2 linked regions of the Rattus norvegicus genome follow. The protein of the gene in region 2 interacts with the protein of the main gene of each other region in a biochemical or structural test. Links are inferred from orthologs where the notes say so. Each region holds a gene or a part of one and is shown on either strand. Other genes may lie near its edges.

Region 1 (5,938 bases), on a different chromosome or scaffold from region 2:
CCAACCTTTGGGCTCTTTCTGGGCCCGCAATGAGCGACCGCCCAGTGCTTCGCAGTTGAGCGGAAAAGTACTCCTGGTCCAGATGAAGATGTTTGGAGAGAGAGAGAGAGAGACCGCCAAAGTGGGGCTCGACGGGTCCACCTTTTAGGGGAAACATTCTTCTGCCCTGGTCAGCGACTTTAAGTTCCCCCACCTGTCTCCTGGTAAAAAGCCAGTATAGTTCCCTAGCCCAACCCAAACATTCGGTGTCACCCTCAAATCGGGTTTGCACTCCTCGGCCCTTTAAAACCTGGCACTGCCGGATCAAGGCCTAAGAAAGACCCGAGCTTGAGATTTAAGGCCTGCGACCATTTTGGCTCCAGCCTCCAGTTGGGTTCACGTTTAAATTCTCCCACAACTTCTTTTTTTTCCACTCCTCCCTCATTGAGATCTCCAGAGTGGTGTGTACCCGGCGCCGCGCCCCCAGATCTGCATCGGAATGTAGAAAAGATCTTTTAGAAAAAAAAGTTTTGAATTCCTCAATGATTTTTCTTCTGGAAAGGCAGCTTAAGATAATTATTTCAGCTTTATTGAGGGCAGATTAGTTGAAGTCTGGGCGCTGCGTTTCAATACGCGTTGTACATGGGCCGACAATGTGGGCATTGTTGGCTACTGTGTGTGAATCCATTCAACATATACACTTTTTAACACCAAACCGAATCCTGTCTAAATATACACAGTGCGTAGGGAAAGATGTCTCTGACCCGGACAAATCTGCGTAAATCACACTTCCATAGTTACAGAAGCCGCACAAAGGGAGGCCGGCCTCAAGATGCAGATTACAACTTCTCACAAGCAACATACCTAAGAATAAATAAATGCCCATGCCTGGCCTGAGGGCTGTGGTAGCTGCAGGCAGGAAAGACCCTCTGTGTTCTTTGAACAAGAGGGGTGTCTGTTTCAGGGTTATGGTATTGCTGTTTGAATGGAGAATTTCGGCTTGGAGTGTGTATTATAGTTGTTTACATTATGAGCAAACACTGAACTTTCAGGCCTTGGGTCTTACTCAGGGTAGCCCCGAAGTTTCTGTATCTTTTGGGGGAATGTTGAGCACGCCAAGGGGTGTCCTCATGGATGTAGGAAAAGTGGGCATCTTCCAGACTGCCCATGGTCCAGAGTCCCTAGGTTTCTGGCCTCCTGTTGCTAGTCTACCACTGTGGGAGGCAGTTGAAGTCTGGGGGTGGGGTGGGGGAACAAAGAGTGGAGTTGCTTTAGAAGACAGAGAAAGTGTAGTGTTTCCACTGTTTTAAAATACACGGTGATGGAGAATTCAACCAATGCTTGGCTGGGAGCAGAACTGTGCGATGGCTTGGGAATGGAGTCCAAGGGCACTGGCCAGGAAAGTCCTCATAGTCTGTGTTGTCTTGGCCCTCCTAGGTAACAGCTCCCATCTACTCCCATCTCCCCAATCTAGGCTCCCCCAGCGGCTTGCCACGGTGACTATGCAATGAGCCTTGTCACCTCTCCTCTTTCTTCCTGACCACTATCAGTGGTCACATGGACAGAAGGAGGTGGCTGGGACACCATGTGCAAACCTTGCTGGGCCACCTGGCCTCTTCTAAGGCTGCCTGGTGCTCCCGAGGCTGGGAACCTCTTCCTGCCCCCAAAACACTCCTGCTAACTAATTGCTTATCGCATTCAACTACTCTATGCCTATTCCTTTTCAAATTTTTAGATCAAAACTTCTTTGAGCAGGAGGAGGAAGAGGGAGAGGGGAGAGAGAGAGAGAGAGAGAGAGAGAGAGAGAGAGAGAGAGAGAGAGAGAGAGAGAGAGGGATATTAAGAGTTGCAAAGATTTTTTTTAAAAAATTCTGTTTCGTCCTCTTCTCCCTCCACCCCCCCCCCCTCCGGCTAAGTGGTAAAACCTTCCTTACGTACTCAGTATTGATTGGCAGGGCTGACAGTGATTGGCAGTGGTTGCCGTGGCAACGCCACAACGACACGCCACAGACCAATAGAAAAGCGAAACAAAATGTTTCAATGCTGCACTCACTGTGGATTTAGGGGAGATATTATGAGGCTGTTGTCATTAGGGCGATTGCTGTGGAATCGCTGAATCTTGACTCGGCGGTGGTTGGCTCTCGCTCTCCTCTCTCTCCCTCTCCCTCTCCCTCTCCCTCTCTCTGCCTCGGGTTCTCTCTCTGCGCGCGCGCACCGGGCCGCTCTCCTTCCTCCCTCTCTATGTGGCTGCGCGGGTGTGTGTGTATGTGGATGTGTGTGGGGTGTGGGTGTCCCTTACGTCCTTCCTCCTCCCCCTCCTTCTCCTTCTGCTCCCCCCTCCTTTCCATCTCCTCCTCCCCCCTCTTCTCTCCCTCCTCCTGGTCCTCATCGCCCCTCTCCTCCTCTTCCTCCCCTCTCTCTTCCTCTCCCTGAATTTTCTCCTCTCCTCTCAGGTCAGTCCATGGTATTCCGCTCCCCCCTAGACCTCTATTCCTCCCACTTCTTGTTGCCAAACTTCGCCGATTCTCACCACTGCTCCCTACTTCTGGCGAGTAGCGGCGGCGGGAGCGGTGCGGGCGGCGGCGGCGGCGCGGGAGGAGGCGGCGGCGGCGGCGGCGGGAACCGTGCGGGAGGCGGCGGTGCTGGCGGAGCAGGCGGCGGCGGCGGCGGCGGCGGCGGCGGCTCCAGGGCCCCCCCGGAAGAGTTGTCCATGTTCCAGCTGCCCACCCTCAACTTCTCGCCGGAGCAGGTGGCCAGCGTCTGCGAGACGCTGGAGGAGACGGGCGACATCGAGCGGCTGGGCCGCTTCCTCTGGTCGCTGCCCGTGGCCCCTGGGGCGTGCGAGGCCATCAACAAACACGAGTCGATCCTGCGCGCGCGCGCCGTCGTCGCCTTCCACACCGGCAACTTCCGAGACCTGTACCACATCCTGGAGAATCACAAGTTCACCAAGGAGTCTCACGGCAAGCTGCAGGCCATGTGGCTCGAGGCGCACTACCAGGAGGCCGAGAAGCTGCGCGGCCGCCCTCTCGGCCCGGTGGACAAGTACCGCGTGCGCAAGAAGTTCCCTCTGCCGCGCACCATCTGGGATGGGGAGCAGAAGACCCATTGCTTCAAGGAGCGGACTCGGAGCCTGCTGCGGGAATGGTACCTGCAGGATCCCTACCCCAACCCCAGCAAGAAACGAGAACTGGCGCAGGCCACCGGCCTCACCCCCACACAAGTAGGCAACTGGTTTAAGAACCGGCGACAGCGCGACCGCGCAGCGGCGGCCAAGAACAGGTCAGTGGCGGGGTCCGCGGCTGGGCCACAGCCTTCGGGACTAGGGAAGGGGAAACCGGTTGGAACGCAGGCGATCGGGACACGGTAGGGGGCGGCTGACCCAGCGCTGGAGACGCCGGTGCTCTCTGGACAGTTAGAGAAAGTTTCGGATTGCTCTAGAACAGGGATCAACCAGCTCTGGGTTTATAGATTGCTTTGCCCAGGAAGGGCTTTATATCCAGGCCAGCGCTGTGTGAGCATGCCTCTGGTGTCCTCAACCCACCGTGCCTGTCCCTGGGAGCCTTAGCCCCTCACGGGTCTCTTCAGGCCTGTCCCCAGTTAGAAGGTTGGAAGGAAAGAAAAACAGGACTTGCTATCTGATTATTTCGTGCACCGCAAAAGGGACGGGGTGGGTGGCTTAGAGGCGTCCATAAGCATCAAAGAGGGGAAAGTGGGCCAGGTTCCTGCCACGAAGAGAAGGCGAGTGGCCACTATCCCTCGAGCTTCCCTCCCTGACCCTGAACAGGAGAGGCAGGCCCGGAGTGAAGAGGCCTGGTGAGTTTAGTGTGTTCTCCCTACATCCTCCGTTATGGAGCATCTATTCCTTTGGTCCGCCGCAGGTGCAGTTGTCCCAGGCAAGTTGGTTACAAAGTCACAAAATTGTTTTGGTTCTGGTGGATCTTTAAAGCTCCACCGAGAGAACGTAAAGAGAAAAAGGAGAGGGCAGAGAGAAAATTAGTGCAAAGGGAAGGGAGGAAAAAGTAGGGGAATCCGGCAACAGTTCGGTTTGCTCAGTTTGAAAGGCACTAGGCCTGGGCAAGGAGCAGGGGCCCTGGCTGCTGACAGCTGCTGGTGGCTGGAGGCTTAGAGTGTGTGTGGGTTTAGGTGACCCAGGCCTGAATTCACTTTCATCTTATCTCTGCCTGTGGCGGCCACTTTTCGCCAGATAGGGGGAGAGCCCACGGCCAGTGAAAGGCTCCTAGGTTCAGGCAACTGCTTCTTCACCCAGAAAAGAGACCGTCTGTCCTTCTCTCGTGTCTTCTCTTTCTTCTCTCTTCTTTCTTTTCCTCCCCCCACCCCCATTCCCATCTTTAACTTCCAGCTACTCTATTTTCCCTTCCCCGTGTCCTGCGCTTTCTACATAGGGATTCAGAAAGGAAAGCAATGGGTGCTCTAAGGAGAACCCCTACAGCTCTGGGTGTGTGTTTGGGAAGGCCCTGGCAGGAGGCTCTGTGGAATCCCTGGTTCTCTGGGCAGCGGGTCCAGTTACATGAGCCTCGGAGGCTGCGAAGGAAAAGCGAAGCTCTTCCTCACTGTCTGCTGGCTCGGGTCTCAGCGTCCTTTGCTGCCTGCTCAGGTCTCTGCAGGAGGCTGGCTTGGGAGTCTACTCTTCCTCTGAGGCCGTCCCTATCTGGAACGCTTCCCTGGGCTAGAGAACCGGGAGCTCGGAATTGGGTTGGGAAGTCTCTGCGGGACTCAGGGGACAGCTGGGTGCCTGGAAGAACGCGAAGTGCAATCGAGGTGGCTAGGGGCACGCTACGCGGGAGGCCGCGGTTGTAGGGGAGTGTGGGCCCAGCCTGGCCAGGTTCCCCGCGGTGCCAGCGAGGGGAGCACGGCGGCGGACCACCGAGTGAGGGCGGGCATGGCTCTCTTGTTCCCCGCAGGCTCCAGCACCAGGCCATCGGGCCGAGCGGGATGCGCTCGCTGGCCGAGCCCGGCTGCCCCACGCACGGCTCAGCAGAGTCACCGTCCACGGCAGCCAGTCCGACCACCAGTGTGTCCAGCCTGACGGAGCGCGCGGACACTGGCACTTCTATCCTCTCGGTAACCTCCAGCGACTCGGAATGTGATGTATGATAGCCAAGGCCGCCCTCCTCCTCCTTCCCCTCCTCCCCCTCCACCTTCCCCTCCTCCTCCTAGCCCTGCTCCTCTTCCTCCTCTTCTACTCCATCCCTAGAACAAACCGAAATCAGGATACACAGCCACACACACACACACACACACACACACACAAGTCCATACACACTCCCACCCCAGCCAAAAATATATTTAAAAAAAACAAGAAAAATAAATTAACCTCAAATCATCAACAACCCCCCACCACCTACCACCACCACGGCCACCCCAAAGGACCGCGACGCCAACAGACAGTCACAAACGCTGATGTTGCGGGCAGAAAGCATAAAAGAGGTGACAATTGTATACTTTCTAGGACAAGCACGGCTTCTCCTTTTGGTTCCCACGGACCCGGCACCCCACCTGCATGACGATTTATTTGTATCTGGGAAAATATTCTCTCTAGTTTAAAATGATTTAAAGAGTCGACTATACAAAAAAACGCCACCATCGCCGCCGCGACAAGACGACAAAAGCAAACAGACAAAAAGAAAAAAAATCTGACATCTCCGTTCTGAATTTGTTTTTTTTTTTTAAAGGAAAGAAAGAAAGGAAAAAAAAAACTCCTCGAGAGAAATAGCAAATGTTTCTTCCTTCTGTTGCTCTTTTCTCCTTTAGCCCTATCCATCCATCTATCTATCTATCTATCTATCTATCTATCTATCTATCTATCTATCTATCTCTGTTTTTTAAGTCCAAGTATTGGTCAAACAAGATGCAATCCTCTGTTTTTGTTCAGCCGACAATCATTTTCTTCGTAAGCACCTTTTTCTCTCCACTCTGTCACTGCCTGTGTGGGTAC
Region 2 (6,031 bases):
CACAAAGGATCGGGGCAGCTGCTGCTTCACCCATGATGCAAGTGCAGGCTGAGCCCCGGGCCGCCACCGCCGCCTCGACTCCTCCGTGACGTCCGGGATGGGTATCCCCGGCTCTCAGGAAGTGGCGGCCGCCGGCAGCTCCGCCCCCTCGCGAGTCAGGGCTGGCCCGGCAGTCTCCGTGGCGGGACCTGGCCCAGAGGCTTGCAGAGCCCGGGGCGAGCAGTTGGGGGGTACCGCGCTGGGCCATGAGAGCGCGCGCGCCATAGGCAGCGCGCCTCGCTCGCGCCCGCGCCTCCCTTCCAGCCCCCTACCCTCGGCCCCCAGTTGCCCAGCACCAGACCGGGTCGAGCCGAGTACAAGATGGCGACTCTGCAGTCCGCTCTCCGGGCCGAGTCGGGGCGCCCCTTGGTGCGGCGCGCGCGCGCGCCCGACGCCCCACTAAAAATAGCCGGGACCCGTCTATATTTGGTTCGCCGGATCCCGGCGCGGACGCGCGCGTCCCACCCCGCCCCGCCCCACGCCGTGCCGCGCTGAATGGAGACGGGAGGGGGTGACCGAGGGGAACCTACTCCGCTATCTGCCGCGCGCGCCGCCGCCTGGGCCCGGCCAACCGCCCAATTTAGTAACATCGCCTGCGTCAATCACGCGCCTCGCGTGCGTCAGCGCCGCGCGGCTCCAGGTCCTGCTCCCCCAACCCCCAGCCTTTGAATGGATTCAATGTAGGAGCGCCCTCCTTCTTTCTGGGCTAGGATGGGAACGCACCCGCAGCCAGGGGGCTCGGTTCCTCTGGGCTGGGACAACTTTCCGAGCGTCCTCTCACGGTCTTAAGCACACCAGCCTGCTAAAGTGAAAGTGGAGGCGTAGACTTAGAGAGGCACACTATGCACGTGTTGTTTTGTTTTCGAGTTTCTGGTCCCAGTTCGAACCTTCTTCGATTCTGGGGCATGTGCTATGACTAGGGGATCCTCTTCCCCCAACTTTGCCACCCACAGGCTCAAGTCAAAAAAAAAAAAAATGCCACTTGGGATTCTAGCAGACCACCAGAGACCGCGTCTGTCTGAGTTGTTTCATTCAAACATTTCCTTCGTAAAACAATCATTTCTGAGAGAGGTTACTTTCACTTAGTAGCCACCTTTGGAACTAAGAGTTCCAAACTCGAACATGTTTTGGTTTTGTTTGTCTGGTTTGCTTTGTTTTCAGCAAGAAAGTGACATCCTAAATTCATTTCCAGGAAGAAATCGCTGTCCCTTATACAGTCGCCCAGACTTTCTGCATACTTGGAAGACAAATGGGCCATAGGAAAGATCCCCTAGAGACCGCTTAATGAATCCTGTTGATTGATTTTGAAATATTTCATTTGAGAGATGGAAGGGGAGGCGTCTACGACCCTCAAAAAAAGTGAAAGTGCGAGTTCCAAGTGTGACCCGGTGCAGGGGAGGAGTAGAGGATCTGTTTAACAGTCAGACTCACTCAGCTGTTCAACACGTGTGGTGTGTTTGTTTTATATATAGTTTCTCGTGCAGCGCGCGCGTGGCTCGATGTGCATTTCTTTGGATTATAAAGTGTCCAGTAAAGAACACCACACCATAAGTGTAAAGAAATAAAATCTTGTCCCTGGAGCGGTCTGCATCCTAGGGCGAAACACCAACAGCAGACAGGAGGAAGAGGCAAATTAGCCTAGGCGCAAAGGGCCAGAGAGACGTAAACAGCCTTAGAACCACTGCATGAGGAAAGCACAGCTGCACCTCAGGGAGTCTTCGGGCTGGTGCCAGACTCCTTCAGCAGTGACTGCCAGGTCACTCGGAGAAGCTGGCTGGCGTAGCCTTCCCTTTCGGAAGAGCTGTCCTCTCTCTTACCCCCTCGACCTGGCTAGGTGCCTCGGGGCAGCCTCGGAGGCGAGCCAGCAGCACTCCTCCAACTCTACTCCACCCGGAGCCTGACAGCTGGGCGGTCCCGCCTGACCCGCGGGCGGGCTGCGGCACCCTCCGGTAGACCGGCGCCCTGGCAAGCAGCTCCGGTGCAGAGGGGTTGGCGGCGCGAATCTGAGAAGCCTCAGGGCTGTGGTCCGCAGCTCCCCGCGGTTTCCATTGTGCGTCCCTGAGAATGGCCGGGGAACGCGCGTGAGCGCGCGCGCGAACACACACACACACACACACACACACACACACACACACACACACACACACACACCCTCGCACACGCGGAACCGGCTGGGCCAGGGGAGGGAGGAGGAGGGTGACGTAGCGTCCCATGGCGTCACATTGACGTCTCGCATTCCAGGCACTCTATGGAGAGGCCGCTAGGGCTCCTGTGGCATAAATGACGTGCCGAGAGAGCGAGCGAACGCGCAGCCGGGAGAGCCGAGTCTCCTGCCTCCCGCCCCCCACCCCTCCAGCGCCTGCTCCTCCTCCGCTCCCCATACACAGACACGCTCACACCCGCTCCTTCACTTGCACACACAGACACACGCGCGCTCACACGCTCCGCACACACACTCCACTCTCTCCCGCGCGCTCACACCCCTCTCTCTCGGCGCCCTCGCCGGTGTCGCGCCGCGCCGCGCCGCGCCGCAGCCGGACGCCCCTCCAGGGCTCACTTTGCAACGCTGACAGAGCGGGCAGTGGCCGTGGAGGTGGGAAACGTGGCGACATCCTAGCCCCTGGTCGCAGCCGGAGACTGGACGCCTGCGGAACCTCTCGGCGGCGCTCTCCCATGAGTTGGGATCGCAGCATCCCCAGCCAGCCGCTGCTCACCGCCTCTGGGAGCCGCTGGGTTTGTGCACCGCAGCCCTTCCGGGACAGCAGCTGTGACTCTCCCCCAATCCAGATTTCGGGGTCGCTCTCTAGAAACTCGCTCTAAAGACGGAACCTCCACAGAACCCAAGTACGTACAATATGCCCAGTTAATATGGGGACTTGCTTAAAAGTTGGCGCGCTGGGAAGTGTCGCTCCTGAAATTGACAACTTTTAATGTGGGGCTCCCCCCCCCCGCCGCCTCCCCTCTCAGGCTTTGCTCCCCAGGCGAGCGGTGGGCTCCAATCTGAAACTTTTCCCCTGTAGCTGGCCCTCGGGGACTCTGGAGCTTGTGAGATTCTTCTCCCCACCCAAAGAGGCGAAAAGCCTCTAACAAAGAGGAGGACCTGGATTTGTGCTATAGCTGCTCCAGCGTTGTAATTCAGGGTATTTCGGCTCTAGTTGTCATGGTAATGATGCTCTCGGCGGCGGCGGCGGCGGCGGCGGCGGCGGCTGCGGCAGAGAGTTGGAGCCCCGGTGATGAACGGCAGTAATTTTCCTGCCTTTTAAGTGGGATTGAAAATAGGGACTCTGGTGGGTCCGAGTTAATGTGTCTAATGGTGAAATGAAGCTGGTTGTCTGGGAGAAAGCCTAGGAGGGACACTGCCTGGGCAGCAGCGGCCAGAGTTTGCAGAGGCGCTGGAGGAGCTCAGCAAAGAGGGTGTAATTGTAGGAATGCGGCTTATTGTATTGAAATGAGCCCGGGGCTCCACTAGGCACGTCTGCCAGGCGTCGCCGACTTGCTGGTTTACACTTTTCCCCACGGAGGTAATCGGGTGTAATTGCCGACTCTCGCGCCCCGACACGCGTGGGGACGGCGTCCCTCTTCTCCGGGCCTTGACTGGTGTGGGAAAGGCTTGTGTTACTACTTTTCAATGCGCTTTCGGAGAAGTTGCTCCGAGTGTTTTTATTCTTGGTAAGGAGGAAAGTTCTCGATGAAAAAGAGAGCTGAGAGGCAGAGCTCAGTCTGCGGAGACTGGCTTTCAAAGGCACTTTCTCGAACCTGTTGGAGGCTTCCGGCAGTCAGGAGGGAGCTCATGATCATTGGTCCCTTGATTTCCAAGAACGTTCTTGGAGGTGGCCTTTTGTTTATGTGCCCGGGTTCTCCCGAGGGAAGAGCCGCGGGGAGTGTGGTCATCAGTACTCTCGAGCTGCTTATCCTTGGGCCTTGGAGTGCTGGGAGAGAGGTTACAGGGTTCGGTTCAGCCATTCCTTCGCTATTCCAATTCCGGAGCTCCTTTCCCAACAATCGGGAAATGTTTCTCACAGAACCAAGTTAGAGAAAGAAAAGCTGCCCAACGCGCATACTGAATACAATGAATGAAATTACTTTATTGGAGTTGTTTTAACGCAGCAAGATACGCATTAACGTGAACGCCAAAGACTGCCCGGGCCACCACTCCCTCCACAGGCGCCCCCAGCCCCCCCCCCCCAATCCTGGACCCAGCGCTGGCTCACAGAAATTCTCCCCCGGGGTTTGTCTCAGCTCCCTCGGTCTTTCTGAGAATCTCTGTCTTTCCCTTTCTGCCGGTCTCTTCTCCACCTCTCTTGCCCCCGCCCAACCTCCGCCCCCGCTCCCCATTGGAAACTCCGCGGAGGAGCCCGGGTCACAATGGTGTGTTTCACGGTTTCCTCCACACACTTCACCACGGGGAGAGGAACACGGGGGTGTTCCCTTCGTCTGCCCCGGAGAAAGAAAGGGGCTTTGACAGAGGTAGTTATTTCTTCCTAATTTACAACCCCGAGGCTCTGTACTCCCGGCCCCAGCGGCCACGAGCCTGAGCGACAGAACGTGTTTCCAGGCGCAGAGGCTTTACCTAGGTAACCGGACCATCGGGGCGGGGGGCGGAGAGAGCGATGGGGCTCTGGGCTGGGCTGTACGATGGGCGGGGTGCCGACCTCTGAGAGGAACCCCTTTCCTGGGGAGGCGCGACCCCCGCCCACCAGAGTTCAGAGGCTGCCCCTGAAAGAAAGACTACTCTTGAAAGGCTCCGAGAGACAGTCGGGATAGGAAACCCAGTAGAATTGGGGGTGGGGTTGCTGGAAGACCCCCCCCTTGAAGATGCGAGAGGGGGAGGACGAGAAGCACATGCTACAGCTGTGGAAAGATCCACTCGTGCCAACGCTTCAGCGAGCGCAAGGTTTCCGTCGGAGTACCTCGGGTTGGGGATGGCAAGGGAATCCCCCATTTCCTGGCCATCGAGAATTTCCTAGACCTGGGGAACCCGAGCCTCTTTCTCTCTACAAGCAAACTCTGGGCGCGGGAGTGGCAGGAGATGAAACTTACCCCACCCTTGGGTCCAGCTTTCACCAGAGATCTTTTGGTTAGTTTGGGGGTTGGGTTCCCCACGAGGGGGGAGGGGGCGCATTTCTAACCTTTGAGCTGTGCCCACCCCGAACAAAGGGGGCGCTATAAGCCGGAGTTAGGGGCAGCTAGAGCCCTCCTCCCTGCCAGTCAAGCTGCGCTTCCAACTACAAAGTTTCACTAGGTTGTGCACCGGGACTTTCGCCCGGGAGCCGCTCTGGGCGCTCTCCGGAATGTACCACCTCTGAGCCACCCGGTGGCCTGGAGCCTTGAGGCCGCCCACCCTCGGGGACACCGCCCGCTGAGGGCAGGGGACCTCCCTTGATCCGTCGCAGCCACAGCCAAAGCTGTCTGCCGGAGCGCGAGGCTCCCAGCTTAGGCCTTTCCTCTGTGCCCTTTTGTTTGCTTGACCCTTGGCCCTCGAAACTCGCGACTAATAGAAGGGAAGCTCCATTAGCATTTAGAATGAAAAGCACAGACTTTCTTAATTCCTCCGGGCATTCATGCATTCGTTCCGGACCTTGTGCATTTCCTACGCGGCGTGTAAAATTTGTGTTTGAGGAGTGGGGGCCGTCGGAGTTGAAAAATGGCTATTTTCTTCAGCATACTCACTGACACTACCACAATCCCCAATTCGGGCTCTATTCGTTCCTTAAGTGTCTCCCTTACTTCGGTCTTCCTGACTTCGCAAGCTGGAAACCAACAGTGGGTGTAGAAAAGATCAATTTCTTAGCGACGACCATGCAGGGATTTTAGCATCATGTATCATAAAAGAAAGGGCTGTGAGCTCAGTGGGTGCCGGCAACCTCCCCTTAGCTTCCTACGACGATGTGGTGCTTCTTGCCCAGGACTCCGTGAGCCCTAAGCGCTTTCACTTAACCTTATGACATTCTTTGTAATTATCTAGCGTTTCTCCAGGTCCCCCACCCCCACC

Evidence for each region.
Region 1: the proteins of Nr4a3 (region 2) and Six3 form a complex in vitro, tested with the Homo sapiens proteins (3 studies listed by BioGRID). The link is inferred for Rattus norvegicus from reciprocal best matches to the Homo sapiens genes NR4A3 and SIX3.

The regions. Positions count from the first base shown.
Region 1 is NC_086024.1:14,792,404-14,798,341, reverse strand, and holds the start of Six3 (homeobox protein SIX3), read left to right. Parts: upstream 1-2,085; 5' UTR 2,086-2,440; coding exon 2,441-3,261; intron 3,262-4,904; coding exon 4,905-5,097; 3' UTR 5,098-5,452; coding exon of another isoform or gene 5,453-5,542; 3' UTR 5,543-5,938. UniProt on the Homo sapiens protein: Transcriptional regulator which can act as both a transcriptional repressor and activator by binding a ATTA homeodomain core recognition sequence on these target genes.
Region 2 is NC_086023.1:67,154,838-67,160,868, forward strand, and holds the start of Nr4a3 (nuclear receptor subfamily 4 group A member 3), read left to right. Parts: upstream 1-2,360; 5' UTR 2,361-2,883; intron 2,884-3,204; exon of another isoform or gene 3,205-4,613; intron 4,614-6,031. UniProt on the Homo sapiens protein: Transcriptional activator that binds to regulatory elements in promoter regions in a cell- and response element (target)-specific manner.